Linked DNA regions of Lepisosteus oculatus. The protein of the gene in region 1 purifies or fractionates together with the protein of each later gene. This does not show direct contact. Links are inferred from orthologs where the notes say so. Each region holds a gene or a part of one and is shown on either strand. Other genes may lie near its edges. The genes, in order: rac1a, cyfip1, cav1 and iqgap3.

Region 1 (7,643 bases):
AATAATGCCACCAAATGGCATTATTATACTGATGCTTCTGAAATCCTACACCACTCTCAACCAGCAATGACCTGACCTAGTTTACTGCTCGAGAAGGAACAATAGTGAGAATATGGGAGGTACTTTAGAAATCCTCACTGTTCAAACCAAATGTCAACGCAAACTGCAAAACATTAAGCCTCTCCAAATTCAAGTTGGGAAACACACAGAAGTCTGATATTTCTAAGAAAATCCAGATGAGAAGAATGGTCATTCCCAGTCTTCAATCACCAATGGTACAGAGAATCTACTGCAGGCACTCCCAGTCCAATACATCTCTAAATATGTATTCCCAAAAACCTCTGTTTCTAAGCACTGGGAATGCTTTTAAGTTGCTGGGCAATAAATAAAGAAATGTATTCAATTAACAGAGCTTGGTTCCTTGAAGACTGACAATTTCCATTTCAGATGATTTCTAAATTACTTAAATCTAACAAAATTGCCTCAAAATGGTTCCATGTCCTCAGAATGTGATTTGAGGGAGACCCACAAACTGGTGGACAGGGGCTCCCCTGAAGCAGGGCAGGAGATTCCTGACCTCTGGGACCCTTATTATACCTATTTCCTGTAAAACCCACATCAGAGACACAGGCCACAATTAGATAAAGGAGACCAATGAGCTGCATTACTCAATTACCTTATACAAGGAAGGCTCTGGAAAGTTGTTGCCTGTGATCTGACGAGCTACCGAAAGTATAATCTCACCAGCATTGGGGCCCATTTTGTGACTCCAAATCATACCAGCTTTGATAGAAACTTATCTAAATCCAACAGGCGACCTGAAACAGTTGTAGTTGTAAGCAGTCCACACACGGTTAAGTTTAGAAATCTATACAGTCTTGCCGTTTTCCATGTTTGGCTTCTAGTGCTTATACTGCACACAGGGCACACCATGCCTAGATCAAGAGAGGCAAAAATGGTAAGATTTCTGATTTAGCTCCCCATCAATATCAAAACCTGCGGCTGGAGTTAGTTTAAACAGTTTTTGCTTTGATCCAAGATGACAAAGTGCCCTGCTTTGCGCTGCTGTGCTTGTGCCTTCAGGGTTAAGACAAAGGGAATGCCGACAGCAAGGATCTGAAACAGTTCATGAAGGGTCTCCTGCCTGTTGCCCTGCATGAGGGCTCCACCTCTATGGCTGATCTAATTAACAGCGTGACTAACGCTCCGACCAGGCTCCAAGTATTTCACAGGTAAGCGCCTCTCCAATCATGTCAAAAATGGGGCAAACTGTAAAAGCCTTTAGAACAAACTCGGCTACGAGGATAAAGTTAATAAGCTTCACTGACTGCTCGGGCTGGAACAGAAAAGGCAATCAGGACCTTCAAGACTGAAGATCCCAAGACATGAAGAACTACACCACACAGTCCCTGTGTTTTTGATGCATTGCAAGCACAGACAGGACAACTTCTAGCCCAGTTGCAAACTCCAGTACGCCGAACGACCCACCATTAAACTCCTCCTTTCAACTAACACTAAGAGTCTTAAACAACCAGCAGCCGCACGGTGAGCTTATACAAGAGCAAAAGACAGCATGAACTGATGCAACACACACCGAAAGACTTCAGAAAAAACTTCAAAGATTCTTTCTAAAGGCGTGTTCGATGTCATAAGTCACCTGTATCTGACAAACTGCAGTGTGAAAACGGCTATCGGTAGAGACGAAAAATACTTTGCCCATAAGTAGCAACCAGAAACTATTACACGCTGATCTACTGAAACACTAACAGGAATGCATGAAACCCCTAAAGGTAGTTTTTAAATTGCAAAATACAATTGCGCTCCCATCTATAATCGCCCGGTAACTTAACATATTTTAAACAGAGCAACTTCTGCCATGCATGTTTAAAAACCCTTCGGTAGTAAACAAGTACAGTCGGATCGCCGTTCTCATAACTTCGATACAACGTTTAACTGGCCAGATGAAGCCCGAACCGTCTTTTCATTTAAGATTAAATGACCGGCAAACGAGATTAATCATCAAAACGCAAACCAAGCGAAGAAAACGGACGCAATCGCAAACGGATCGACATGAGCGAACTCGACAATACAAAAGAAAAAAAAAACACCGATCAGTTAAAAGATTTGTTTTTTTTGGCCACTCGGTAAACTTTAGCCGGCCTCCACGGAAGTTTGATAAGCTCGTAAGCCACGGCTTCAAAGAGCGCTCCGGAGGGAAAGACCAGTTAATTATAGGTAACTTCCCAGCAGCCAGGTTACTTTCCGACACGGCTCAGGGCTGGAAAGCACGGGCAAGCCCAAAATAATTGAGAGAGACTTTAAAACGCGGCCCCCCGGCCTAGAAACCGAGCAGGAATACGGGTCGGGAGCGGGTGTGGGAGAGTTTTCCAACATTTTCCAAACAAGGAGAAGTTGGAGGCGGGGGGGGAGAGAAGAGGACAAACATCGCAGATAAACTCACCCGTCCCCGACAACCACACACTTGATGGCCTGCATCGGTCCGGTCCGGTCCGGTCCGTCTCCGGGTCACGTCAGCTGCCGGTTCGGGTGCAAGAACAGACCCGTCTTTGTTCCCGCGAAGTTGCTTTTCCTCCCCTTTCCAAAAGCAAAACAACCCCCCCCCACAAAAAAAAGGGAGGGAGGGAGGAAGAGGGGGGAAAAAAAAGGAGAGAAAACCGAACAGAAAGCTTCTCCCCACTTCAGTCACGACACCGAGGCAAGCCCGACCGGGTCCTGGAAGTGTGTGTGTGTGGGAGGGGGAGAAGATCAAATTAAGACAAGCCAAACGCAAAACCGCCACTGAAGCGCGAACAGCAACACGCAACACGCCGACTCCCTGTGTCGCGTCCGACTGGAACTTGAGCAAACAGCCACCACCCCAAAGGAAGGAAAAAAAAAGTCGGAGCTGAAGCTTTAAGCGGGGAAAAAAAAAACTCCGGCCCTAGACAACAGAAACTGTAGCTCCCAGCTCCCTGCGAGTCACTTCCGGCCTCTCCTGTTGTCCCGTGGATCCAGGGGACGAGCGCCGGCCCTCCAGCGGCGTGAGCGCGCACGCCTCCTGGCTTCCCGAGGACCGCCGGCTCGGCGACGGGAGCGCAGAGCCACAAGCGGGGCGGGGCGGGGCAGCCGGGCGCGCACGCTGCTCTCTTCGCGGGGGCGAGGAGGGCTCTTGGAGCTGGGGGCGCGGGGGCGCGCGTTCAAGAGGAGGGGGGAGTTTGTCCCGACACGTGTGGGAGGCGATTCGCCCGGAGCACCAGGCTGAGCGGTTTCAGTAGTTTCGAGATCCCGAGAGTCTCATCTTTGTTGTGTTTTTCTCCTCATACGGGCTGTTTCAAGTGGGAGACCCCAACATTTCATTTTCCTAAGAAAATGAGTTGGATGCAATAAGCTGACAATAATGCATGGAAGGCTGTCTCTCGAGTTAATCAGAGAATTCCTCAACACAAATTGTTCCTTAAAAGGAATGCTGCCTGTATGAACATATGGACATCAGACCTGATCAGTGTCCCCCTGAGAGCTGGGGACACAAATGATATAGGACCTGCATGTGCAGAAACATGAAAAACACACACGAAATGAAAAGAGATGAGAATCAGCCGCCTGTTTGAAGTCTGAAGGTCTGCCTGAGCGTATTGGGTGGGAACACGCCACCACTGACATCTGTGGGAGAGTCATTGATAAGAAATAACGAAAGAGTCTGTATCCCATATATTCCTGTACACACTGGGATCCAGTAGCGCTTCGTACAAGAGGTAGGGCTCATCCCATACTGGATGTTGGTTTACAACAACACTAACAGAAATTCTTCTTCACAGACTGAAAAAAGACACCGAATCTGATGCAGGGAGGCAGACGCGCACAATTGCTTTTCCTGTATTTATTACTTTGACCTCATCTTAAGGCAAACAAGTTCGTATGGAGACAGATCTCAGAAATTCGTTGTTGAAATGGTTGAGATTTAAACTACACATTTCAAAAGAATAACAGTCTGTCACCCCTTCCTCTTAAACATACGCCTATTATATTTCAGCCGACACTGGTCTTCCACTGCTGTAACTAAGACAGGCCCATTCAGTGAGTTTATGGTAACGCTGTGAGCAACGGTTAGCAACAGTAGTTAATTTCGTACGCCGATCTTCCAATAGAGTACCGCATAAATGATAACGCAGCCTGCCTCTGTCCAATAATTCCTTCTAAATTAATCTACCCACGTATCACTGTAGAAATCTTATGGTGTAAAGGTTCTTGAAAAGTATTAACCGTATTCATATATGTTAAATTGGCTGATTCAGTTTTAACGGGTTTTTAATGCAAGTTAATTCCCATTGCGCTAATACATTTAAACTATGACTATCGCTTCTACAGGAGAAAGCGATAAAGAAACGCTCAAAACTTGTTCGTCTGATTCAACTTGTTCGTCTGATCACTCCGGCGGGATATGAATGTATTTTTTGAGAACGAAATAAGCCAGGTTTAAAAATACTACGCGGCGGTGCCTATTTTTAGAGACGACACATGGTTCGGAGAGCCACAGGAAGTCAGCGCAAGGCTGCGCATCCGTGTGTCTCACTATATCGCTCCGGCTGACCGAGAATGGTGAAACAGTCCGCTTCTGTCACAGCGTTACCGATTCCCGAAATATCCGAGAGAGTGGCGCTTCAGAGGGAAGAGATGTGAACCGTGTTCAGCAGGAACAGCGCCGATGGGTCGCGGGTTCTGTCAGACGCCCTGGTGACATTACGGACACTGTTTCGGGAGGGGTGTGTGCCCTGTCTTTTGTATGGCGGGTCTGTCTCAGCTGGCGTTGAGGCTTCCGGGGTCCGCCGGCAGGACTTACGGAGTGTTTTCCAAAGGTCTGACGAGGACTTTATTAATCTTTTTCGATCTAGCCTGGCGGCTAAGGATCCGTTTTCCCTACCTCTACCTCATAGCCTCAATGATGTTCAATGTGCGATTACAGGTGAGCGATTTCTCTCTTACCTACGCCACAGGTAAGAGTGACATCACGGGAGTGTTTTTTTTTTGTCTTAGAATATACTGTAGTTTCTGACAAACGCGAATACGTCACGGCCGGAGCGATTTCTGCTCGTGTTAAATAATTTCCCTTTGCTATAAATGACATTTCCCCCCTGTAGGAGAAAATCGCGGATGAACTTAGCTGTGATAGCAGGGAAGAGCATTTCTGATCGTGACACAGAGTTTTAACATATCAGTCGCTGCATTTATCGACACCACCCATTTACGAATCTCCTTTGAATAAATGCGGTGAAGGCACATCTCAATTTTAAATGTAAAGTTTGTAATTATGTGGTGTTTTATGTCCAGAGCTTTTCTGGAACATCTGCCCAGAAATCGAGGATTAAGAAAAGCAGTTTGCTTTCATCCCCTTTTAAGCAACGTCAGTGTCCAAGTCCAATATGCATGCCTTCGTTTCATTTGCTTGCTTTTATGTCAGTTTTATACATATTGTAGCGTATTGCAGGTTCTTTCTCAGAACTAAAGAACAGTGGAGACGCGATTAACCAAGCACTGGCTTTATTTTACAACCACACCAAAACCAAACACAGGATCTACACAAACATGAGGAGTCTGACGAACACGTACACACATTTAGGGTGGTAATTACCTAACAACACACTCTACTTTTACAGGACTACACAGGGTACTAGAATTACTAGGACATTATTTACACAGGCAGGGTCAGCCGCTGGTCATCGTGCTGACCCTCAGACTCTTCCCGGCTACCACTCCCAGCATGCCCAGCGGTACTACGAGCGCCTAGGGGCGCTTCCTCCTCACCACCAGGCGAGGGCGTTACACTGCCCCCACCTGAAGCGTCTGGCGTCTCGCCGACGTCGAACACCCCCCTCAGGCTGTACTCGTATTCGGCCAACTGCTGCGGAACCCTGCGTGAGCGGCCGCTGCGCCGCGGTGACGGCTGGCGATCCACGGACGCCCCACTATCGGCCGGCTCCGGCCCCGGCTGCTCCTCTGGAGCCTCCCCACACGGCTCCTCCTCCCGGGCCCGGTAGGGGGCCAGGCGGTCTCGGTGCAGGACCACCACTCTCCCCCGTGTTCGCAACCGGACACGGTAGCAGACCTCGCCCACCACCCCGAGTACCTCAGCGGGCCCCTCCCACGACGGCGCCAGCTTAGGACTGAGGCCTTTGCGGCGCCGCGGGTTGTACACCCAAACCGAGTCCCCGGGCTGGAAGGCAGGCCCCCTGCAGCGCAGGTCGTAGTACCGCTTCTGCCGGACCCCCGCCTGTGTCAGGTGGGTCCGTGCAAAGCTGTGCACCCGCTGCATCCGCTGCCGCAGGTCCCACTCGTAGTCCGGTCCAGCCGGCGGTGCCGACCCGTCTCCGGGCGGCAGGCCGAAGACCAGGTCCACCGGTGTTCGCATTTCCCGGCCCAGCATGAGCGAGGCCGGGGTGCACCCGGTGGATTCCTGGACCGCGGTCCGATACGCCCAGAGCGCAAGGGGGAGGTGGCGGTCCCAGTCCCGTTGGTGCCGGGACACCAGGGTGGCCAGCTGGGTGGCGAGCGTCCGATTAAACCGCTCTACCAACCCGTCGCTCTGGGGATGCAGCGGGGTGGTCCGCGTCTTAGTAATCCCCAGGCGCTGGCACACTCTGGCGAAGACCTGGGACTCGAAGTTACGCCCCTGGTCACTGTGTAACTCCTCCGGCACCCCCAGCCTGGCAAACATCCCCTCCAGCAGTGCATCGGCCACCGTGGGGGCACTCTGGTCCGGGAGGGCGTAGGCCTCCGGCCACTTCGTAAAGTAATCCATAGCCACCAAGACGTAGCGGTTCCCGGCCTCGGTGCGCGGAAACGGGCCCAAAACGTCCACTCCCACCCGCTCCATAGGAGCCCCCACCTGGTGTTGTTGGAGGGGGGCCCGAGAGCGCTCGGGGGGACCCTTCTGCGCCACGCACACCGCACACGTTCGGCAGTACCGCTCCACGTCCCGGTGGCAAAGACCCCAATAAAAATGGCCTCGGAGACGCTGCAGGGTTTTTTTACCGCCGAAGTGCCCCACACCCGGTTGGCCGTGCACCGCTCGGAGCACCGCCCCGCGGAGCGACCGAGGCACCACCAGCTGCCACCGTACCTCGCCACTGGAGGGTACCCGCCACCCCCGGCGCAGCACCCCGTCCTTTACCTCCAAGGCCTCCCACAGGGCGCAGAGGGCCTTGACGGACTTCGGGTGCGGGGCGAGCTCCTCTCGTGTAGGCCGCACTCCTGCTGCCCTCCAGCGGAGCACCGGGCCCACGTCAGGATCAGCTGCCTGACGCTGCGCCAGGTCTGGCAGGCCCACCCCCAGCGGCCCCTCCCGGGCCGTGGCCGCGGCGCTCACCCCCGCCACGGTGCGGACAGCCTCCTCACGCTGCTCCCGCCGGGCGCAGTGATGGCAGTCCGCGGCCTCGCAGGGGCGCCGCGAGAGAGCGTCGGCATTGAGATGGCGAGACCCCGCACGGTGCACGACAGTGAAGTCGTACTCCTGCAGGATCTCTATCCATCGCGCCATCTGTCCCTCTGGCTCCTTAAAGTGGAGCAGCCAGGTGAGGGACGCATGGTCGGTCCTCAGCCGGAACCGGGTCCCGAACAGGTACGGCCTGAAGTGGTGGACCGCCGCCATC
Region 2 (7,823 bases), on another chromosome or scaffold:
GCAATGCAGATATTTTTTTTACTAGTTCGGTTTTTCAATTGATTTGAAATGCCAGCGGTACTGAACGTTCTCTGCAATAATCCTATTATACAAAGAACCTACGGGGGTAGAGTCGCTCTTTCTTGGTTTGAATCAGAACTCAAATGCTGCAATTTGCAATGTTGTGGTCAATTTACCTTCAGTATCTCTTTTGCAAGTGTTCTAACAAATGTTTCCTCTTTTGTGCTAGAAGCTTAAACCACCAGGTACCTAACCAGCGTAATTACCTCTCACCCCCTTGTGAGATCAGCCAGGTTTGATATAGCAGAAGAAAATGCCCGCTTGGAATTCTTCACTCATTAAATGAGTACCCTATTCACCAAAGAAACCCTCATTACCACACAGCAGGGTGGGTCTATCAGAGAGGTATAATTACCCTTGTCCAAAACTGGAACCTTCTTCCTCCAAAACACCTTTTCAGCGGCGGAACAAAAAGGCAGCGCAGATCAGAAATCCAGGCAAACGTGTAAAACACTGACGAAAATCAAAAGAAATAAAAAAAGTGAAACTCCTCAAAAGCCAAATGCACCGTAAAATCAAAAAAAAAAGTGAAGGAGAATCTGCCGAAGAAATTGGTCTGAGAGAACCCCCACTCACGAGTGGGCGTGTAGGTGAGAATGAATGTCTGTCACACTGTAAACTGTGCTGGAACCACCCACACACAGGGGTTTCTTTCTCACTGGTGCAGCAGTGAACGTACGGAGCAGCTATAGACACAGACAAACACCATTATTTAACTCAACTCCCAAGGAAGGAAAAATTAAAACAATGGAGAGACCTTCAGGTCTAGATCTTTGCTTATCTGCAGCTGCACACCACAAAAGCAGACACAAACTCTGCTCTTTACCTTGTGCGCAACACACAAATAATTTACCACAACACACAAATCACAGCCTGGACGTTCAAAGTGTTTTAGAAAAGACCAAAAAAAAAAACATAAATACAGACAGAAGCTATGTAAAGACTAGAAGCTGTGATATTAGTACTAATTTATTGACGAGCGCTATAGAACAGCATATGTTTAATACATAAAATAGAACTTTGAAAAAAGAAAGGCACATAAAAAACTGACCATGTAAAACTGAATTATACAGCCATTACTTTAATAAAAAAAAGTTTAAATGAGATATAAAAATCTCAACAGTCACAGAGTCCGTGACGGATTAAAGCAGCGAGTTTGAGAGATGTGAGAAGGCTCTATTACCCACTTTGGGTGCAAATCAACTCCCAACAAATCATTTGTGGTATAATGCTAGATAAATTCTAGAAACACTATTATTACACCCTCCTAGCCAACGAGCAGGAAATTGCATTGTACAGATCTAACCCGTATCCAAAGCTATCACAGCACCCTTAAAACATTAGATAAAAAATAACGGTTCTCCGGTACAATACCAGGGAAAAATTAAAATAAAAAGGTACTTAAATAACTTTTTAAGTGCCATATAAAAGTTAGTAATATTAATGCATTGCCACAGCTTTCACAAAAGGGTGTAAGAAAACTTTACACCGATAGTTCCCCTTCATGACCCAAGTGGAATAAAAATCTGAAAACGAGCTGAATATTCGCATTACGAAGTTAAAAAGCAGGCAGCTCGCAATCCATTACGGGCTGTATTCTTGAAAGGATTTCATCAGGGCACATTCCCCTGCAGTTTTAAATCACAGGGCTGCTGTCTGAAGCAAGTCAGCACAGCGGTGCTTTCTCAATACTGTTCTTACGACTGCAGGGACACGTAGATAACCAGGCTCGTTTGTTTTTTTTCCCCCACCTGGAATGTTTTTTATAGTCGGTAGGAAATATCTATTAACCAATTAACGCATGAAACTGTACAGAGTTCGACGGTTTTTCTCCCGTGTTTGGGCTACCAGCTCCATATTTACAGTATCAAATATAAAACTTCTATGTGACCTCCGTGTACTATGAATCTTAATTCTGCATTTTTGAAAGGAAGCGCACCACCATCAAGGTAGTTACCCAGGCACCAAAAACTATATCTTTACCATGATATTAACTTTTCAGACCTCAAATTTAAAAAAAAAAACGCAAGATGTCCAAGGCGTTAACCATACTAAAACGATTAACTTGAAATCACACAGCTAAATGCTACTCTCTAATTGCAGTCTCCCAGGAAGCGCAGGCACGGTGTAAAGCAGCTAGCATGAGTATCAATTACAACTTACGACAAAAACTTTTATGCCACACTAAAATAGTCGCTCTGCCATCGCGTTAGAAGTTCCTCGGCTCACGGAGCAGCCGGAGCGACGCAAGTCTCTCGAAGACGTTTCGAGCCTCAGCTGTAGCACGGAAAGAAAAGTTTTCGAAACACTTCGAAAGATGGGGGGGGGGCTTGAACTTCCAGTTTACCCAATTCCGAGGCTGAATCCCGGGGAAGACGTGCGGTTTTTCCTGGCGATTCCGCGAGCAGCGCAGGCTAGGCTAGGCTAGGCTAGGCGGGGCTCCGGCTCTACGAAGTTTCCCAAAGCGGTGCGACCCAGCGGTCAGGCCCGGGAGGATCCCACTGCCGCCACCGGGGCTGGACGGGGGGGGCACGGCTCGCTCAGGCAGCCCACCAGCCCAGAACGAAGTCTACAGAATCCGACCCAAAGCCCGTAGGCAGAAAACCGCTTACAAATCCACGCAGCGCGCAAGTTAAAAAGCCCAGCATGTGGGGGGTAGAGGCAACACCCAAAGCGAAACAACACAAACTTTCCTACCTAAGCGTAACCCAGTCTTGTTTTCCTGGGAAATGGTGAGCGCTCAGGACAGAAATCCCATTCAGCGGGAGCGGAGCGCTGCGAAACCCGTCTGTAAGAGAGCCACCTCCCTCCGCTTCGGCCTTTCTCTGGAAACTTTTAGCTTGGTCCGGGCGGCCGTCTTCCTGTTGCGGAGGATCCCTGCAGCAGCTGACACCAACCTCGGCTCTGAGCCCGAGCTGGGAGTTCCTGTCTGCGACTCTCAGGGAGAAGTGGGACAGGAAACCCTCCGCCGCGGCGCTTTGCAGCGTCGTGCCGCTTGGGGGCGCTGCGGATTCAGGATGCCAGGGAACCACCAGAGGGCGATGAATAAACAACCCCCCCCCACCCTCAGCCCTGAGATTAAATGGGCTGGCCGGTATACGCCCAAGTCAAGTAACTGGCAAATCGTTAAAGTCTTTAAATAAATCCGGTTTTTAAGGATAAAATTGAATTTTAAAAAAATGAATCAAATCCCATTTTAAACCTAAATAAAACACACCCTATGAAGAGTAGTAATAACTATGAAATTATCAACCATATGATTCATTTCTTCAGGTCCTTCACTGCAGAGTTCCATTTGTTATTAATTCATTGTTATAAATTAATTTGTCTCCCCTCCACCACCACCAATGTGCAGCTTCACCTGGATGATGCAACAGCAACCATAGTGCACCAATATGGTGAGCACTCACCAGCTAACATTGGGGAGGAGAACAAGGTGATGGTGATTATTAGGAGGCCACGACTGGTAAAGACCAGGGGGAAATTTGGCCAGGACCCCAGGGTAACACACCCCTACTCTTTTCAAGAAACGCCCAGGGATTTTTAATGACAGCAGAGAGTCAAGATCCTCGGTTTTACGTCTCAGCCGAAGGACGGTGCCTTTTTACAATATAGAGTCCCCATCACTATACTGGGGCATTAGGACCCATACAGACCACAGGGTGAGCGCCCCCTACGGGCCCCTCTAATACCTGTTCCAGCAGCAACCTTAGTTTTTCCCAGGATGTCCGTTATCCAGGTCCTGACCATCTGTGAGCTGCAGGGTGACATAGCTGCTGCCTAATATGGTCAACAAAACACAGGATACCCTTCATATTCTCTCCCCCAATTTGGATTTTACAGATAACAAGAAAAAAATAAATGAGGGGAAGATTAACTCAAAGTTCTTTCTTGTCATAAAAACAAAAACAGGTGCAAGAATTTGACTCTTCAAAACAGTGCAGGTTTTATTAAGAGAGCAGAATTTATTGTGCAAACAAAAGTCTAATTCACTCTGCTATACAATCACTTTTGTAAATAGTGAATTATGAGCAAAAACAGCACATCTCAAAGACAGCAAAAAACTATATTTACATTTTCAGTACCCTGTTTTCTTATTGCCTTCAGTGTCTCAATATGAGCACCCGAGGTGAAGGGTATTTAAGATACTCCAGTAGCAACTGAGCACTTTTTTCTCCCAAGAGCACAAGAAACAGTAGCAAACGTCTGTCCTTGTTGCATTTGCTAAGCAGAAATAAAGTCAGAGGCCTGTTGTCGGAAAGGGCTTCCCTTGCACTTTGATGTTTGAAATCCAGATGGCCACGAAAGAAAAAATAAGCATTGTGAAAGAATGCCTTGCAGACATTCCATGATTCTTGAGGATCTGTAATGGCTCAAAGCGATGCAAGGAGCTTCACAGCTTTCTGTAGCTCATCCTCAACACTGCTCAAAGCCAGCCATCAGAGACAGAGCCAAGGACTCCACTGAAAAGAGGAGTGAGAAGAACCAAATTAGAGAACACAAAAATCATACAATGCTGTGCTTTTCTTAGCTCTTTTACCAATAAAAAGAATAAGTTGCAAACAAGAGGTGGCCTTGAGATCTATCTGTTTGATAGTTATTAGCAAATCAATCCAAAGATCTCATGCAGCCTTTTTTTGTCTTGGAAGAAGGGGCTTCAGCAACAGGGCTGGATAGAGCAGATACTCTAACAACCCTTAGTGCTTGCACATAGTGGAACTAACTAATGCTACAGCTGAAACCCTTTTCCATTACTTTTAATTATTTTGGTACAAACTGTTTTAATCACTGATACACTGCTTCTGTTTAAGACTAGAAGATGCTGTACCTGTCATTATCAGTGATCACATAATACAGTTGACAAAAACTAATTCAGAGACATCATACATTGCAGATAAAAACAATTTTAAACTTTTAATTGATAACTTTTGCCAGTTAATCACAAAGCAGAATATGACCAGTGAAACATCTGATTAACTTTGGCTCATTCACTCTTTACAAACAGCAGAAACTGAATTGCCAATAAAACATTTAATTCGCTTTCTGTATGACTCACAGTGTGGAAAGGAGCCCCTGCAGACAGCTTTGTTGAGTATAGTTACCAAGAACATGTGACAGTTCTTGAAATCTGACTCCATCTTATCAATAGACTCAATCCTAGAAATGCAAAGAGTTCCAAGATTAATTTGAAAAAAAAAGTATCAATGTTATATTAACAACTAAAGATTTCACTGCACATTTGTAGTTTCTCTGAAAAGGCTTCGTTAGAAAAAACACACATATACTGTATACACACTCATTTAAAACAAATGTGAAACAGTTTCTTATGGTTCTGATGTTCCAATGCATTTCTAAGCTAAATTAAATATAATTTGGAAAACCTTTCTTAGAGCAAAATACTTCCTGTCTAAAAATACCTCATAAATATCTGTATTTTAGCTCAGTAACTCAAACTCAATCATTTATTTCCGGCAAGTTTGACAACTATTTGCTTCTTTCACTGTTTGATCTTGGACAACCACCACCTTGCCTACAGTAGAATATCCTGGTGTTTTTAATTATAGAAAACACAGACAAATGTCCAGTTAACATGGTATTATTTACTGAGAAATCAAACCAATACATGCTTGCGTTTCATTAAGGGTTTTAATACTTACTTCCAGGCACCAAAGCCTGCCTGCCACCGATCTGAGAACATCAGGGCGAGATTCAGCACCTTCATTATTGCCTCCTTCACAAAACTAACCTGCAAAACGCATTGCCAAGCAAAAAAGTTTATTTTACTTTTTTTCTGAAAATTGTAGTCATTGCTACGTTTGTCTTTTGCTCCAACAATCATTTAACTATGGATTCTATAGTCCACCATTTCTGTGTTTTACATGTCACAATACAATAAGACACAAAGCAACATAAGACGGGTTGCAGATGAGAAGATACCACTCGGTAGTCAGTAGTTAACTCATGTAAGGATCTCATCCAGCCATTTCTTGAAAGAAGTCAGGATGTATGAAAAAGGCTTAAAGGGAAATTGCAGTCCCAATTTCTAAGACCGGTATTTAAATTATTAAATGTTATAGAACAATTTTACACATAAGCACAAAATAAGCACAAAATTGTGAACTTTGTGAAAGTACTGGAAGTCGCCATTTTATCACAAATCTCTGGTCTCACCAGGGGTAATAGCGAGAGTTCACAAGTATTGTGACGTGATGTGGCCCTTCTTGCTCACTAGTCACCATAATGACTGATGTAATGCGATGTACGAGTGAATGAGTACAAGTTGTGACGGGGACATTTCACTGCAGAAATGTTCCAACCTGATCTGCATGCAGAGTTAACAAGTAAGTAGTATTTGTCAGCAAAACCGTCTCAAAGTCAAGAGCAATATTTCTATTGGACTAAAAGTGATTTATTCACAAGCCTGCTCGTGTACAAAGTAATAGGGGTCACTTCAGTTCACCGGAAGTTTTGTTGCCTTGTCCTGAATCGCAGAACATGGTGATGCGCATACCTGGAAAATTCAGCTATTTTGTGAAGTAAATTGGAGGTTTTACTCATTATTGTATACATTTTTCTTTCATTTTGGTTTGAAATGCACTCATCAATGCCGATTCTTTATTAACCCCAAATATAATAATAGCATTGAAGTTCTCATTAAACTACTTGGGATAGGTAGCTTATCCTACAATGCTACAACCCATTGGATAAAGACATGCCTCCTGTTCTTGTTTTTAAAAACACTTCCATATAGTTTCTACTTGTCCCCTCTAGTTTGTGGTTCAGTGTTCATTCTTGAGAAACCTGCTGGGTTGAGGTTGTCAGGGTCTTTGAGGATTTTGAACACTGAAAAGGTTCAGTTCCTTCAGCCTGTCTGTGTAAAGATGTTGTTTTGAGTCCAGGGGTGTATCAGGTTGCTTTTCTCGGGACAGACTCCAGTACAACCATAGGTTTACCTACAGTATATATGGAAAAGTACAGTTCAAGAGCAATATGGACAAGTGGAGAACATGCATCTGAATTACACCTCCTCTTTCATAAAAAGCACAGTAGACTTCAAGGAAATTCAGTGTCCCTTAGTAGTTGTGAGTTAACAGAGTGCAAGACCTACCTTCTCTCGGAGAAGACAGCGGTCGTGAATGGTGGAGAGGTATCTGTAATGGATTTTAATCAGCTGGTCCAAGTCTTTAGCCTCTTCCACTTGGTGCTGAAACTCTAAGCCTGTGCTGTGCAAAATCTGACAGAAAGAATATACTGCTGTTTAAAACATACAGAAAGTATTTTAATACTCCTGCACCTAAACAGGAACAATAAGATGCTGGCTCAAACTTAAGTATCAGTTGTTCTCCTGTTTGTTACTTGACAAAAACGTCCCCTTTTGTGGGGTTAAGGTGTTCCATACATTCCACCACTGAGCTGTTAAAGCGTGTCTTTACACCCAAAGGCTAGACAAAAGACTACTGAAAATCAGAGCACAAAAATCATCTGTAATGAAGGCCAAGAGTCTTTGTGCCACAGTTAACATTAACATGGTCAACATGGTCTCTGCATTCCATGAAACTGTAGCTCTTGTTATTTGGCAGGCCCAAGCAAACCCAGTGGGAAATGTTCTGCTTCTCCAATCACTGCTGGTTCTCCTGTAAGGTACTGTGTGTTGGCTCCTGTGCTTGCAGTGTGGTGAATGATGAATGGTTCTAATGGGCGGTGAGCATTTCAGATGGTCTAGTTTCTTCCTATTTTCTTCCCAGGGTGATACGGCAGTGAGT
Region 3 (7,889 bases), on another chromosome or scaffold:
TTATCTGTTAACTGGGGCTTGCTTTTAGTTTTCTTTTTTCTAAATGTGATTGTATATTTGGTTTTGCTAGTGTAATAATCTAAGAGTTGACCGTAAGGCCTAAAAAGTAACATAAGAGGAAAATGTAATCAAACTTTCTCTCTAAACGCACCTTGCTAGAATTCAAGCTCAGAAAGTATTTTAGGCAACATGGTTAACAGAACATCTCCTAATATCAACCAAAAAATTGAGCTGGATCTGAAAACATGGTTGAAGGTCACTCGTTTCTACATTCTAAAGAAAGCAATATGAAAATATTAAAAATGACTATTAGTTTTAAAGGATTTACACTTTCCCACATCACTTAGTTTTAAACTAAAGACACCCTTCTCAGTTTAATCTCATGTTCAGTCTTAATATTTTAAGAATGTCCTCTTTTGGTTTCTTGATTTGCAATGGAACCACATGAAAGAAGTTGCTAATTAATAAACAATTAATAATCAATAAACAATTGTGCCAAGCAACATCTACTGTACTGACAAAAGAGAGCTCCCTTAAAAAGAAGTGTGAATACAGCCTGTATCAAGGGGTTTTTATTTGCTCTGACTTACAGTACAGAGAATAAAAAAATAAGTCTGTAACTAACCCGAGTAATTAAAAAACCCACTACTCACATATTGCAGGTCACAGAAACCTCATATTTACCCCTTACAGCTAAGTCCAAAAGAAGCAGTAGAAATAAGTTTATTTTTTTCTATTTATATCATTACATTATTATATTCTTTAAAAAATAATAATGGAGATTATAGGGAAACATTGTGAGCATATTGATAGTTTTACATGCTGTAACGTAACAGGGCACATAAAGTTTGTGTAACCAAAAAGAACTATTTCATTTTGTGTTTCTCAGATTAAATTTAATATTTCAGATTCTATTACATGTGTGATTCTGTACATTTGTCTTGGAAGGGTACTGAAAAAGAAGGCAAAGGAGGTTTTACTGTTATCTTCTTCTGTGTAATTGTATTAGACATACGGTAGTTATTTATGCTAATTTTAAAATTATGTAGCCAATTATATACTTTTAAATGATTTGAAAAAAACTGTATACCTTTTCTTTTGCCTCAGATGTATATAATAAAGCTAAAGCACATTTTTAATTGAGAAAATAATATCCACAAGATTATTATATTTTACAAATAAATTATTCATTTAAATATCTCTTAATGTGCATTGCTGTTTTTTTCCTCAACTGAAACATACTGGAGGATATTACATTGTGTTATTTTAAAATAAAAAAAATGGAAAAGAAATGACAAACCTTGAGAAAGGTTTTGATTAATAATTATCTATACAATTTATATTTTTGGTTAGGTGCATTTTTTTCCGGTGCTTCATAATAATTCCTCACTAGACTAAACACTTCTTATCCACTTCCTTAGGCTTTAACTGAAAGTAATGTTTAAAAGAAACAATTTAGTTTACCATTGTAGAAATATGGTTTGGTTGATCAAGGATTCTCGATTTTGATTAATGAAGAGATATTTCTGGAGGAATGACATTCACAATCATCCTTAGATGTATAATATTCACTCTGTCAGCTAACATTGCTTTGTTTTGTATTAATGCAGAATATCAGGCTGACAAGGTGCCTTATCTCTTGAGTTCATTAAAGGAAGTGAGTTCCTTCTTTTCAACTGTCTCAATCGCACAATCTATATATCTTCTGTATATGAATAACCTTGTTAGAGAATAAGAACTGGCTTACACATTAGTGTAAATGCAAAAGCACTGGCCCGAACATACAGCCACTCCAGTACCTGAAGGTTATTCTTATTTCAGTGTTGGGTGGGAAGAACTTGCTGGCCAGCCAAGTACAGTTGTGGTTCCCTTCAATCTGCAGTCCTGATTCCCCATGGTAGTGAAGGATCATTCCAAAATTAAAGAGGATAGAGAAGTACAAACAAAAGCACAGGTACAGATGCACAACATGAAAGAACAGATTCCACCCATCTCATAAGGATTGCTTCATGAGTCCCAAACATTCCTTTGGCTTTACTTGCTACCACCTCATTATAAAGAGTACAGCGCACAAGTTTACTACTGTCTTTCTGGGGGAAGGGGAATGAGATGTTGCTTTTAACAGGGCAAAGGCATATGATTTGGTTGAGACATGATAAAACATTGCTCTCCAATTGGTCTCACAGTTGCTGTGTTGTAAGTGCTATACTTGCCTTCTCTTGATGGCCTAGAGGGTATTGCCATCATCCTGTCAGAGCGCAGAAATCTTGAAAGGGCCAATTGGACTGCACTTCAGAAAACTCTGCCATCATTTGAATATAAAGATCACTGCCCCAGTTGCAAAGCAACTAGGCAACAACGTGCACCCATATCTTTCAGTACTGGGGTACAAGGCACTTGTTTAAAGTACCTTCCTTGTCCCCAGACCCAAAGGTATCTGCAAAAAGTGATGTATAATTATGCTTATTCTTTTTTTGCACTGCAACAGGCTTACATAATATGTTCTTATCACAGATCCATCATGTTTATGCTTTATTTATGCTTCTTAGATCCACAAATATACACACAATAATTAATAACTAGAAAAGGGGTTGCTTAGCACGGAGGAAGGTTGAACACAGTACAATGGCCTGAAGAAAGCAAACCCTTATTATTAATGACTGATATATCTGAAACAAAAACTCTCCTTCACTCTTGTATATACAGTGCCAGCAGAAGTATTCAGATGTTTGCACAGTGTTCATATTTTGTTGCAATCAGGACACTTTGACACAGCAATTAAAACTTTCTTATGTACACGACTTACATCCAAAGCAAAAAACAAACAAAAAAAATAAGTAAATAGAAGTTATGATTGTATAAGTATTCCAGCATTTTGTGCTGGGAAACCTAAATTAATCTGGGCACACGAAATTAGTTTAGAGGCCCATATTTCCATGCGATAATAGTGGTTCACATAATTTTAGAGTAAACCCACCTCTCTGTGAAGTATCTCAAATTCCAAGAACATATTCCACTATGAAGACCATGGAGCTTTTCAAAATAACTCATGGATAAAGTTGTAGAAAGACACAGATCAGGAGAAGAATATAAAAACATTTCAGAGACCTTTAAAATCTCTTTGAACATGCTGGAGTCAATCGTTAAGAAGTGGAAGACATTCAGACACTGCCTAGATGAGGTTGTCCCTCCAAACGAAGCAGCTGGGCAAGGACAAGTGGTTAGAAATGTAACTGTGTGGCCAATGGTGACTTTGAAAGAGCTAACAAGCTCAACTGAAGTCAATGATATTCAAGTCACACTCTAGGTGGGGGTAAACAACAAAGCACTCAAGTCTAAGCTCTAAATGCAAAGCTTTAGATCTGATGTGTAAGGAATCCCCAATGAAGAGGTATGCAGATCCTATGCAGATGCAGGAGCAGGTAGATATCGAGACATGCATACAACCTGGAACGTCAGGCGAGAATGCGGTCGAAAGGCGAAAGATAATATAGAGGCAAACAATCCAAATCAGAAGGCGAGGTTCAAGGTCGAGAGGCAAAAGGGTAGTTCAGAATCCTGGAGACGTATAGTAAGCAAGGTTGAAATAACTGTGAGGTGGAGCTCTCTACGAGAAGACTCCATACCGAGCAGCTGGATGCGGGTTTGGATGGTATAAATAGTGCTGCCTGTCCCACAGTAGAGCGTGTGCTGATGTATTAACACGTGCAGCGGCGCTTCTTATTATTATTAACCCGCTGCTGGTATTGGTAAGGTCTCTTATGAGTTGAGCTCCGCTGGCTGGCGGGCGTGACATGATGCAAACCCAACATATTGCATCACTCAGTCAAGCACAGTGGTGGCAGCATTATGTTATAGTTCTGCTTCTCATCGGCAGGGACTGGAAAGCTTATCAAGACTCAAGGTAATGTACAGTAGATGGAGACAAATATTACCTCAGACCACACTGGAAAATGTGCTTTAAACCATAAACTGGGGCAAAAATTCACATTTTAGTAGTACCATAATCCAAACAACAAAGCCAAAGCTACACTATATTGGTTTGAGAAACCCCAAAGTCCTGACTTGAATCCTATTGAGAACTGCTGTCCATAAGTGACCAACCACCTTGAACTAAATGCCAAGAATAATGGGCAGGAATTGGGCAAAGCTGGTGTGCTGCCAATGAGTTTCCACCAAATTGAAACTACAAAAAGATAATTTTAATCTAAATTTGCTCACAAATGCATAGGGGTTCTTTTCATAGGTCTTGTTTCAATTCTAATTTAAACAAATGTGAAATGAAGCTCCTGGGGATTCATTATACCCATAGTTGTGTAATGATGAGAACTGAATAAGAATGGGAACATTTTAATACAATTTTCTACTGCTATCGGTAAAGACGGAAACAGGCCTGGTTTATATCACATAACCCATAACCAATAAAACACACTGTAGGCTTCTGGTTGCAAGTCCCTGCACAGTGAGATTAATAAAGGCAAGGAGACATTTAAACAAGGTTTAAGGTGTCCCAGCCAGTGGAACTAATCTCTGGGAATGTAAACAGACTGGACCGTCAACATCGGTTGCGACCATCAGACCAGAGGCAGGTGTGTTAACTCGTTCACCGAGTTTGGAAAGCATTAACGAACATTTCTGTTCCCCACAGGGCTGCGCGATTCTTAATTATACAGTATTACAGTTCTGTCGGATCCTGCTCCAGTTATTTTCAGTTCTCTTGAGTGACAGGCTAATGGATGGTTGCAGTTTCTGGCACATTAAAAGTAGGGGGGGGGAAACACTTCTGCATCTGTGCGTCTCGGTTGGTTTGCTGCAGAGACAGGATGCTCGGTGCAGCTTTTAACTGTCCGGCTAATCATTGACCGTACTTCGCGAGCCTCCTGTCAATACAGTACGTTAAAACATGTAAGGATTTGATGTCATCCTGACTAACACAGCACAAACCCTGGAGTCCCGCCAGTACCATCAAACCCCACGCCTATTCTGCTCTCTTGCTTCCTTCAAAAAGTTATTGTATTGCCGAGAAATCCTAATCTGATCACATTTCAGGTTCAGGACAGTATGACTGGTGGTATCAAGGACGAGGAATCAGAGGTACGCTGTGTTAAAGCGAGCTTTCGGGACTGCACTGCGTTTAAGACGTTTGTTGAAGGGTTATAGCTTTCAATTTAAAGTGACCGATTCAAACTGTTTACATACACTGTGTACACATATCGCTAAATACTTGCTTCTTAACAGGTCTCTATGTCATCTTGTATTGACATCTTTGCGCTTATGACAAGTTATTTATTTTTGGTCGAAATAGCTATCTTATAAACGCATAATTTCTTAATTGTAACGTTTTATTCATTTTAGACGTTGACGTACTAAACTGCATCAGAAGTAGTCTATTTTTGTCTATTTTCTGACACGGCAAACCTTTGATCTGTTTTTTCTGACACGGTCTGGTATTTTTATGCTTCAAGGCAACTGCCGTTAATTTTGATATTGCATTCAGAAATCTATGCATTAACGTAACTGGTCTTGTGCTTTCTTTTTATCTTAAAAATGATCATGCCTATTACCCATATAGGTGAGCTCCTGTAAGACCTGTTTGTTCACTGTTCTGAAAATCAGCTGCAGTTGTTTTAATTTTTAATGTTGTTTTTTTTTTGTATACTTGGGTGGTAGATGTTTTTTTTCTGCCATTAAATCATACCGTTTTTCAAAAGACGATCTATTTTGGATTTTCTTTTCTTTTTTTGGGAGTTTGATCTGGAGTCAAAGTGTTTGTAGATGACCCCTTGTGGTGAGTGCGAGACTCGTAGTTCAGAGGGGTGTGGTGCTATATTTTATGCACTTAAACCCATCCCAGGCTGAGACGCGCTGCAAACTCATTGCTCTTCTGCAAGTTGTCCGCTTTTGATTTGATTTTTTTGATTCAGTTTTATTTTTCTTCTCCATCGGGATTATAGGGATTTCTTCACTCGCCATTCATTAGGAAGCAAGGAAATATCTACAAGCCGAACAACAAGAGCATGGATAACGACAGTATGAACGAAAAAGCGATGCACGATGTTCACACTAAAGAAATCGACCTGGTTAACCGGGATCCCAAACACTTAAACGACGATGTGGTGAAGGTACGTGGGTGCGCATGTTACATCCCCGTTAAAGATTTGAAATATTAACTGAGAAACAGGGTTTGTACAGTATGTGTGGCGAACAGGTGTTTATGTTTTAACGTTTTAATGGTCACGGTACTTGGTACATATGCACTTGTAGAAAGGGAAATGTGACGTTTCAGTATAGTAATAAGAAAAGTTTAAGACAACTTTCATCGAAGTTCTGATATGTTCCATATCTTTGAACTTGTGAAAGATTGTGTTTCTTTCTTGTTGGTATGTGAATTTTTACGTGCTGCATCTACTAGAGGTCCTGAGGTCCTTTATCCTTGGAATTTCGACGGCTTTTAAAGTTCTATCGAGTGCCCATAAATTAATAAAACAATACATTAAAAAACCCTATGTGATGTCCCTATAATTATATATATATATTAATTATATATATATGCCTATATCCTGCGAGGAGAAACACAGTTTTTGAATTATTTTATCTTTAATGGAGTCAATGCAATCCCTTTGGTATGTCACTGACTTGTCACTGAAACATTATTTAGAAGGAGAAAATAAATCATCCGTGAGCTGACGAACGATCCAACACTCAAACGTACAGTAAATGAGCGCAGCAAGCAGCCGTACATACTGTAGTCGACTCCGAAATCGGACTTTTCAAACCGACCCTGCTTGCACCGTGAGCAAACGTTTTCTAAAGTGTACATCCTGCACGTTGAAGGAATGTCATACTGCGAAAATAAACGACTGAAGATTTGGAGTGGTTTGTTTTCTATCATATTCTGTCGTAGACTAAAGTTGAATTAAAAATATGTATTTATTTCACTACACTTCAAGCAGAATGGTGTTCATTTGTGTTGTATGTTGAAGAACGGGAATTCTTTGAAAATACTCAGTGGTGTTCTGTATTCTTGCTTTGACATTGGTTGGTGCCCAGTATTTTGTTGACGGAATGGTTAAATTTAGTGCAGTTTTCCAGTGAAGGGTACTTATTTTAAGAAATTGAATGTGTATTTGACTTTTAAATGGAGATGCCAGTTTTACTGTTTTGAACATGCAAATACTCCTTTGCGTGCATACTCCTTAAATGTCTCTCGCGCACGTATTCATTTCTTGTCAATTGCATTTTTTAAAATCAGAAAACACATTTATTAATTGAATAAAGACAAAGACAAATTACAAGTTATTAGCACTGCTGTCTTGCAGTGCCTTGACCCTGGGTTCACTTTCGACCTTGGAGTGCTATTTGGTGGAGTTTGTATGTTCTTCCTGTATTCCCATATGGGTTTCCTCTGAGTGCTTTGGTTTCCACCCACAGTCCAAAAAATATAGTGCGAGGTTAATTGGCTTCTTGTAAAAAAATTGGCCCTGGTGCAAGTGTGTGCTTGAGTGTCTGTGTGTCTGCACTTTGATGGACTGGCATCCCGTCCAGAGTGAACTGTGCCTTGTGCCTCTTGCTTGCCAACATAGTCTCCTGCTCCCCTATGACCCTGAATTGGAAGAAGAGAATAGATGGATCGATGAAATCCAAAAGTAAGAAACGGCACCTGTAGAATGCCTCGGGCTCACCACGGTTGAATAATTCAAAATAATTACATTTCAGAACTCCAAATCCTCCTTTCAGGTGAATGATTTGAGTTTTAGGACTAGAAAAACAAATAATGAAACATCCGGGACTTAAAGTAAGGTAAATATTTAACACCTGTGCTGAAGCCTAAGACTGTTTTATGGTGGATCCCATAGAGGCTAGGATGTTACTGGAAATAATTGAGCAAT
Region 4 (7,770 bases), on another chromosome or scaffold:
CCCAGCCCCAGGGGATCTGGGGGGCGTGCCCAGGTGGGGGTAACTGTATACGCAGGGGGCACTGACCTCTTGGCCTCCTCCAGGTGGCACAGGTACTGGTAGGCCACGCTCTGGACGCGCCGCTCGTCCATCTCCTCTGCGGTCAGGCGCTCGACTGCAAGACACCAACGCACGCCGAGTGAAAGTCGGCAGAGGGCAGGCGCTGCCCGAACACTGGCAGCGGGCGGGGGACAGGACGATCCTTCGTCCAGCAGCAAAGCAGCTGTGTTTCATGCACACACTGAAAACACGACATCAACAAAACATCTACCCCCCACATACCATATCCCTGTCACCCCACCCACACAACCGCAGCAGGCGGAAGGCGGGGTACGCCCTGGACGGGACGCCAGCTCACCGCACACACACACACACACACACACACACACACACACACGGGCCTGTTTTCCCAGGAGCTAGCCTGCCAGCGGCGAGGAAACCCACACGAACACAGGGAGAACATGCGAACTCCACACAAACAGCACCCCCGGGTCCAGAACTGACCGGCTCACCGCGGCTCCACCACAACCCTATAAACATTCTCCCCCACCATCGTGACACGAAGCCCCTATATTTACACCCCACCCTCTTCCCTGTCCCCTGACTGCACTTGGGAGAGCACTGTATGAGACACCAGGCCTGGCAGGTGACAACTGGACACCCGAACCAGACCGACCGACCCCGACTTGCATTGCCATAGGGACTGGGGGACCCCCAACGTGCCTGGGAGCTGGGATACAGCCCAACCACTGCTGTAGCTAAGAGAGTGACTGGACCACAGAGCTGGGCTGCAGCAGAACACAGGAGGGGTGTGTGTGGGCCTTCAGGATCGAAACGCTGGCCAGCGGATCAGCACGTCCGACCAGTCTGCACTGGGATTGATGATCTACAGGCTAGCCTGACTCCGGCGGCTCATGACCTGCCACGCGTTTCCTGCTCTGTGAGGGTCTGGATCTGTTCAGCCCGGGGTTCCCAATGTTCTGTCCTGTATCAGTAGCGCTGCCTAAAGGGAAACACTGTCGCGACGCGAGTCTCTTAATTAATCAGAACAACACTCGAGGCCTGGAAAGGGCCGGCAAATTGGAACGCCAGTCAATGAGCTAAGCCAGACCTGAAGGGTATTCAAGAATTTATTGATTCTTGAAATCAATAAATCACAGAGCTTGTGCTGGAGTGGGAACGAGGAACGGCCAGCTCCGAGATTCAACGCGAAAGGCAAGACATCGGGGCAGGAGGCTCGGTCCGGTTCTGGCGCTGGTCGGACCCGGATCCAGACCAAAACTCCGGTCAGATGAGCTCCTCAGCAGTGGCCCCGGAAGAGACCAGAACCGGGACCAGAACCGACCTCCCCCGGCCTGTATGCACAGCTAAAACAGTCACACACGCCGTCCTCGCATCTTAAGCGTTCCTCGGGGGGCTTTTAAACAGACCCCTCGGAACAGGAGTGTGTTTGCCGCTACCCGAACTGTATTGTTTGTATCCTGTGGACAGGAGCCCGGCTAAGGCCATCCAGTGAGGAAATAACTGTAGGAAGTCCAGTCAAGGTGTCCGTGTCACAGCAAACCAGGGAGAGCAGCGTGTGGGAAGCGGGCAGTCCGCCAGGCGCGCCTCCATTGAGCCGGCCCTCACGCCCGGCGCCCACCGCCATCCCCACGAACCGGTCTGCCCGGCGTGATTCCGAGATTCCTGGCGTGTTTCACCTGGGGGGTGATGACCGGCGTCGCCACTTCCGCTTGCAATCGTCTCCTATATATATTGTAACGCAACGGGGGCTCAGGCGGGCGCCCTTGCCGCATTAGGTCACTCAACAGGGACCCAGCCCGGTGAACCAAAGAGAGATCTCTCTACAGCCCAGTAGCTGTAGTCCTGCTATCACAGGGAAGGGCGGTGACGTCACCTGCTCTGGTACGCCGGCTCTTACACAGAACCTGTCGGCCGTAAGCGTTACACTATATATTTGTTTTTTAGGGAAGGTGCGACGTCTGCCGGAAACGGGAGAAATCAAAGTCGTGCCCCGGTGCTGTCAGAAGGTAAAAGCGCTTCACGCGTGGAGGTGTTTGGCCTCGGGTGCGAACTTCAAGAGCGCTCGACACCCCCCCCCACCCGAACCTCCAGTCACGGACGGCGCGGGCTGTGTCGCGGGCGGCAGAGCCTCAGGGAGAGGAACTCCGAACCGAATCCGACACCGACGGGCCCACTGCAGTCCGGCCGGGGCCGCCCGGTCCCGCTGCTCGACCTGAACACTGAAGTCCAGTTCCAGACTCAGCCGCCATTCCTCTCCCAGCTCTGAGAGCCGTGCAGGTGAAACACTGGGACGGCTTTGCTTTCACAAGGATATTTCGTTGCAGTGCGAAAACATCCCCTCAAACAGCCGAGCTTGTCAGGGACGCGCAGGGCAGCTTAAATGACATTGTTTATGCCAATACAGCACAATCTCCCACAGACCCCTACTGAACTTTTATATCCGTCTCTACGGCCCCCAGGCGAAATCGTCTTTACAACTAATTTCGGAATCTAGTAATTAAAAAAAAACGGGAATAAATCCTGACCTAATTTTGACATTAAAAATGTTTCTTGTTATTAGTTATACAGGCGTGGTGACTTACATGCCGAACGCGTTTGTCCCTCGCAATCGTCCATATTCCTTGTCAGCCTGTACCGCGTCCACTCAACGCCAAAAAAACAACAGGTTTCCTCTTTTTCCCCACAAACAAACTCGGTGCTCACTGGCTAATTCGCAATATGCCTCTTTTAGGAAGAAAATTCCTTTGCTTCAGTCATTCTAAGAAATAACTTAAGAGAAAACCGGGAGAGAAACGCGATATCGCTGGCACAACAAAGTTCTGTTAATTTTCCGTGTGCCTCCTGTTTGAATATCCCGCCGTCTGCCGGGATAAGACAGCGCCGCTCCCATTGGTCGGGATCCAGGTGGGCGGAGGCCCACCGCCTCGCCTTTGAATTATGGGAGATGTAGTCTTTTTTTGGGACCCCTTCTTGTGGTTGGGCTGGGAAGCTAGATCAGACTTTGGAGAACACACGGCTCGCATTTTCACCGCTTTCGGAAGGGCGTGTTTTCCTTACGAAATCAGGACCCGAGCTGCGAAGCTGCCCCCTTTGGACCGTGTTTTATAATCCAAGGTGGCCGCCCGTCTTGCTCCCGGCCCGGCGGCTCTAGCGGGCTTGCGAGCGAACTGGTTGCTGGGGCAACCGAGGTAAACCGAGCACGCGGAAACCGATACACCCGCGCAACAACACGGAGCCCAGGCTGCGGTCAGAGCATCGCGAAATGATGCAAAACCGAGCTCGATAAAGACGTCAAAAAAACTCTCTACTAATCAACCTGAAAAGAGATGGGAGGACTTCTGTAAGTACAGTACAATGGGCTGAGTTCTGTAATGCAATTCGTCGCAGGAGAGCGATTCCTAACTAAGGAAATACAGCTTGTTCTCTTTGGCTACCAGCTCTTGTAGTGTCTTTAAAGACACCTCTGCCTGGCAACTAAACAGGACAGGAGCGGCCGCGAAATTTACATCCCTACATGATAGTTTTAATAATTCACATTGCAACGCTACGGGGTTCACGTGGGTATGCGCCCTCGCCGCTGCCGCCTCCAGTCGGGGCGCATACCCACCGTTAGGGACTCGAACCCGGACCTCCGGTGACACTCAACAGCGACCCAGCCTGTTGACCCATAGAGAGATCTCCCGGTCCCTGCCATTCACAGGGAAGGGCGGTGACGTCACCGCAATGGAGGCTGTATGCGTTACAATATCAAAGGCTGGTATAATGCAGTCTTGGGCTGTAAGAGCCGAGCTGTCTTGAGTTACAGTGTAAGCTGTGAAGCGCGGTGTCTGCAGGAGCGCCGCGGGGTCAGTGTGAGAGCAGGCCGACAGCGAGGGCGGACACCCCGCCCTGTCTCTGGAGACCGGGGGCGCTGGCCGGGTGACGCGGGGCTCGGCGGCCGCTGAGCGGGGCCACGGCCCCAGCGAGAACGGTGTGCGGGATTCCTTTTCCACACACCAGAGAAGCTTGGTTTGCAAAAAAACAAAAGACACAGCAGCAAAGTCACCGAGCAAGTAAAAGTAAAAAAGAGGTGTATTCTTCCGGCGGTTTCTTAATCTTACTGCGAAATTGAAACCTTTTATTCCACAGCTAGGAAATACAGTGTCTGAGGTTTAAAGAACTGACCTGCATCAACGATTTTTGAGAAGGGGTGCGAGAGCCTATATTGAGCACTGAAGAACTACAGACTGCTGTTCAGGTCAAGAAGCAGTCCTGTAGGGTGTCAGTAATCCAGAGCACTCGCCACTATACCGCAGTGTAACACCACCTGTATCTGAAATGTCAATTTACAGCTGAGATTTGCCTTTTCGTTTGTATGATTCCGGAAAATACACTGATGAGAAAACTCTTATGAGCTACATTTACCTCGCTGCCTTCCTGATATACTCTAGGCTAGAAATACATGGCTAAATATTTGTGCCTTGTATTTGTCCTCCTGTTTTTCTCTATACAGCCAACTATTGTTGCGTGCCCCATATTACTCAGAAAGCAGATGAACCCTGTGTCTCAGGAGGGCTACATCATGTTAAGATGCAGTATACTGTCTCTGTTTGGGTTTTACAAGCACCCTGTCGGTGTTAGTGTGCCTTGTGTCTGCTTGTGTGAAATGTCGCTCTGTGTTTCCGGCGCTAGATGGTGACCCACCGTAACTGGGCCTTGATGTCGCGGCGTGGCCTGGCCCTGGTCTAATGGCGTCAGATGAGGTGACAGTGGCCCCCCAGGCCTCATCCTCAGCTGATCATGATCCCAGGGGCCACAGGAAAAAAGGCAGGGCCCAGTCAGAGAGGGGTAGCGGGGGAGCTGAGCTCTCAAAGGCCCGGGCAGAGATCGAGGAGCTGACCGCCGCTGGACACCAGGCCTTGCTCCGGGGCGACAGACCTGAGGCGCTGGCCTGCTTCAAAAAGGCTTTCCTGGCCTCCTTGCAGGTGGGTGGGTTGCAGCAGCCTCACGCAGTTCGACCGCCAGCACCTGGGCAGACTTGGCCTCCATCTGATAACATCTGTGACAAAACACCAGGCACAAAATAGAGCAGGCACAAACACACTTTCAGGCAACAAACACATCCTCTTTGGGGAACATAGCCTTGTGCATCATGAGGAGCCTGATACAGACATTTAGACCGCAGATATGGAAGTACTTTGGGAGAACCGGGCAGAACCACAGACGGGCGCTGTGCCTATTTTAATATTGCAGGTTATGATAACAGTACTTTTAGGCAACCAGTAAACACAACAGGCAGACATCAGGAGAACTGTATCACAACTATATGATGCTTTTCTGGACACTCCACTCAAAGCATTGCAGGTAATGAGGATCTTCTCCATCCACACCAGTGTGTATCCCCCACCTGGATGATGCGCCAGTCCGCTCCCCACACACCAGCTCTCAGTGGGGAGGAGAGCAGAGTGATGAAGCCAGTTCAGAGAGGGGGGTTATTAGGAGGCCATGACTGGTAAAGGCCAGGGGGAAATTTGACCAGGACACCAGGGTAACACCCCTACTCTTTTCAAGAAACACCCTGGGATTTTTAACGACCATGAAGAGTTAGGACCTCGGTTTTATGTCTCATCCGAAGGACAGCGCCTGTTTACAGTTTAGTGTCCCCGTCACTATATTGGGGCATTGGGACCCATACAGACCGCAGGGTGAGCGCCCCCTACTGGCCACACTAGCACCTCTTCCAGCAGCAGCCTTAGCTTTCCCAGGAGTCTCCCCTCCAGGTACTGGCCAGGCTCACACCTGCTGAGCTCCAGGGGGCTGCCAGGGCGGCAGGGTGGTCCAGCAGGAATGGACCTGAGGGGGTCAGCCCGGCTGACGCCGCTCTCTTGTGCCCACAGTGCAAGGACAGCCGCGCGCACAGGGCCTGCGCCTTCAACCTGGGCGCCGCCTACGTGGAAGCCGGCAAAGCACAGAAGGGGCTGGAGTTCCTGCGGCGCGGCTCGCCCGCCGAGGGGGGGTCCCGGCGGGCCGACCTGCACTTCAACCTGGGGGCGGCCCACGAGGCCCTGGGGGAGGCCGGCCAGGCCGCCGAGCACTACGGTCAGGCCGCGCGGCTGTACCGGGAGCAGGAGGGCGAGGAGCTCAGCGAGGCCGACGCCTGGATGAAGCTCGCCGGCTGCAGCCTGCACAGTGAGGTCAGAGCTTGGACCCCACCAGCACCCCACAAGGGATGCAAGCAAGGAGGGGTTCCTCTCGTTGGGTTGTCCAGGGTGTCCTGTAGTACATTGATGGACAATGGGAGCTGTTGGGGTTTCCAAAAGTGGAGTTCTCAAATTTGATCTCATAGGTGGGGGGACGTTTAGTGATCCCAACAGCATGATTGGGTAGTTTGCTGCAGCCACCCACAACCCTTTGCGTACAGAAGTACTTCTCTGGTTTTCAGCCCCGAATGTGTAGTTAGTTCTTTTTCGTGGCCCGGAGGGGAGCAGGTCTAATGGCCCCATCGCTCCCTGCCTTCCCTCTGCCCTTAAAAAAGAGATGAGGAGTTACTGCCACCGCCAGTGAGGTGCCACCTCTGGCTCCCGCCTTAGGTCAGAGGATCAGAGTCCCGGTCCAAGACGCGGGACTGCTGCACGGAACCGGTACCACCTGCTTGTCTCTCCTGCTCCGTCACGCCAAATAGGCCTCCTGGGCTGCAGGATTTAGAAGCAGCAGGGAAGTTTAATAACAGATAAGATAACATTTTATTGTCCCCTGAGGGATTTTTTATGGACACCCAGCACTCCTGTACATTGAATTAGAATGCAAACTAAAAAAAAAAGAGAAGAAAAGAAAAACATTGCACATTATTCTATTACAAAAAACAAGAAAAACATTGCACTCTATTGCACACGTACAGTATAACACATAACAGCACGTATCATTTCTGACACATCACTAAACATATCGCACTCAAGTGGGTTGTAAGAGTCGGAATTGTGTTTATCCTGGACATTTGCGTTGACGACTGAACCGCGCAGTGAAGACCAGGGGAGGCAGCCTGCCGGTCTCGGAGCGCACAGCCGGCCCAGAACGCGAGAAACCCCACAGAGCCCATTCCGCACAATCCGTCCGCTCGGGCGCGGAGGGCTCATCGCTCCGAGACCCGCCCAGCGTGTCCGTCTGCTCTCTCCCGGCTCCGCAGGACTGGGCGGAGGCAGCTCGGGGTTTCCAGGAAGCGGGCCGGAGCTACAGGGCGGCGGGCCGGCCGGAGTCGGCCGCCGTGGCGCTGCGGGAGGCCGGGAGCTACATGCTGCGGAGCCGGGCCTTCAGCGAGGAGGACGTCCTGACCGCGCTGCGAGGCTGCTGGGAGCTGGGCGAGAGCGTCCAGGACCAGCGGGAACGGGGTGAGCGTCCTTGGGGACCCCCGGGGGAAGAGGGGTTGCGGGTTTCTCAGGGCTCCGCAGGAGTGCCGCGCCAAAACACGGCAGCTCGTTCACCCTCGCACTCTCTTCCAAGGGCCAGCTCTTCCGATACTGCGGTTCAGGAATGGAATCTGTTTTCTGTTATACACACATGCCATTTGGAATGGGCAGCTGGCTGGGCTCTCCAAAAATGGCTCCCGCGCTCAGTCGAGGGCGAGAGGGACGCTCTCCTCTGACCTGCCCACGCGTAGAGACACGCCCCGTTTCACCTGTCCCGAGCCCAACCCAGCCCGATCAAAGCGTTTCATAGTGGTGCCCCCTCAAG

Evidence for each region.
Region 2: the proteins of rac1a (region 1) and cyfip1 purify together in Homo sapiens (pull-down; 3 studies listed by BioGRID and IntAct, with this or other methods). This does not show direct contact. The link is inferred for Lepisosteus oculatus from reciprocal best matches to the Homo sapiens genes RAC1 and CYFIP1.
Region 3: the proteins of rac1a (region 1) and cav1 purify together in Homo sapiens (affinity purification with western blotting; 4 studies listed by BioGRID and IntAct, with this or other methods). This does not show direct contact. The link is inferred for Lepisosteus oculatus from reciprocal best matches to the Homo sapiens genes RAC1 and CAV1.
Region 4: the proteins of rac1a (region 1) and iqgap3 purify together in Homo sapiens (affinity purification with mass spectrometry; 3 studies listed by BioGRID and IntAct, with this or other methods). This does not show direct contact. The link is inferred for Lepisosteus oculatus from reciprocal best matches to the Homo sapiens genes RAC1 and IQGAP3.

Annotation. Positions count from the first base shown.
Region 1 is NC_090714.1:16,726,471-16,734,113, forward strand, and holds the start of rac1a (ras-related C3 botulinum toxin substrate 1), read right to left. Parts: upstream 3,016-7,643; 5' UTR 2,497-3,015; coding exon 2,462-2,496; intron 1-2,461. UniProt on the Homo sapiens protein: Plasma membrane-associated small GTPase which cycles between active GTP-bound and inactive GDP-bound states.
Region 2 is NC_090710.1:22,086,461-22,094,283, reverse strand, and holds the start of cyfip1 (cytoplasmic FMR1-interacting protein 1 homolog), read right to left. Parts: upstream 3,005-7,823; 5' UTR 2,758-3,004; intron 1-2,757. Other genes in the region: tubgcp5 (gamma-tubulin complex component 5), read right to left, coding at 4,477-4,523, 5,117-5,217, 5,718-5,806, 7,169-7,294. UniProt on the Homo sapiens protein: Component of the CYFIP1-EIF4E-FMR1 complex which binds to the mRNA cap and mediates translational repression. In the CYFIP1-EIF4E-FMR1 complex this subunit is an adapter between EIF4E and FMR1.
Region 3 is NC_090702.1:45,225,436-45,233,324, forward strand, and holds the start of cav1 (caveolin-1), read left to right. Parts: upstream 1-4,889; 5' UTR 4,890-5,061; coding exon 5,062-5,094; intron 5,095-5,954; coding exon 5,955-6,122; intron 6,123-7,889. UniProt on the Homo sapiens protein: May act as a scaffolding protein within caveolar membranes. Forms a stable heterooligomeric complex with CAV2 that targets to lipid rafts and drives caveolae formation. Mediates the recruitment of CAVIN proteins (CAVIN1/2/3/4) to the caveolae.
Region 4 is NC_090722.1:3,450,426-3,458,195, reverse strand, and holds the start of iqgap3 (ras GTPase-activating-like protein IQGAP3), read right to left. Parts: upstream 3,003-7,770; 5' UTR 2,680-3,002; coding exon 2,646-2,679; intron 155-2,645; coding exon 67-154; intron 1-66. Other genes in the region: tetratricopeptide repeat protein 24-like, read left to right, coding at 4,791-5,027, 5,940-6,236, 7,226-7,427.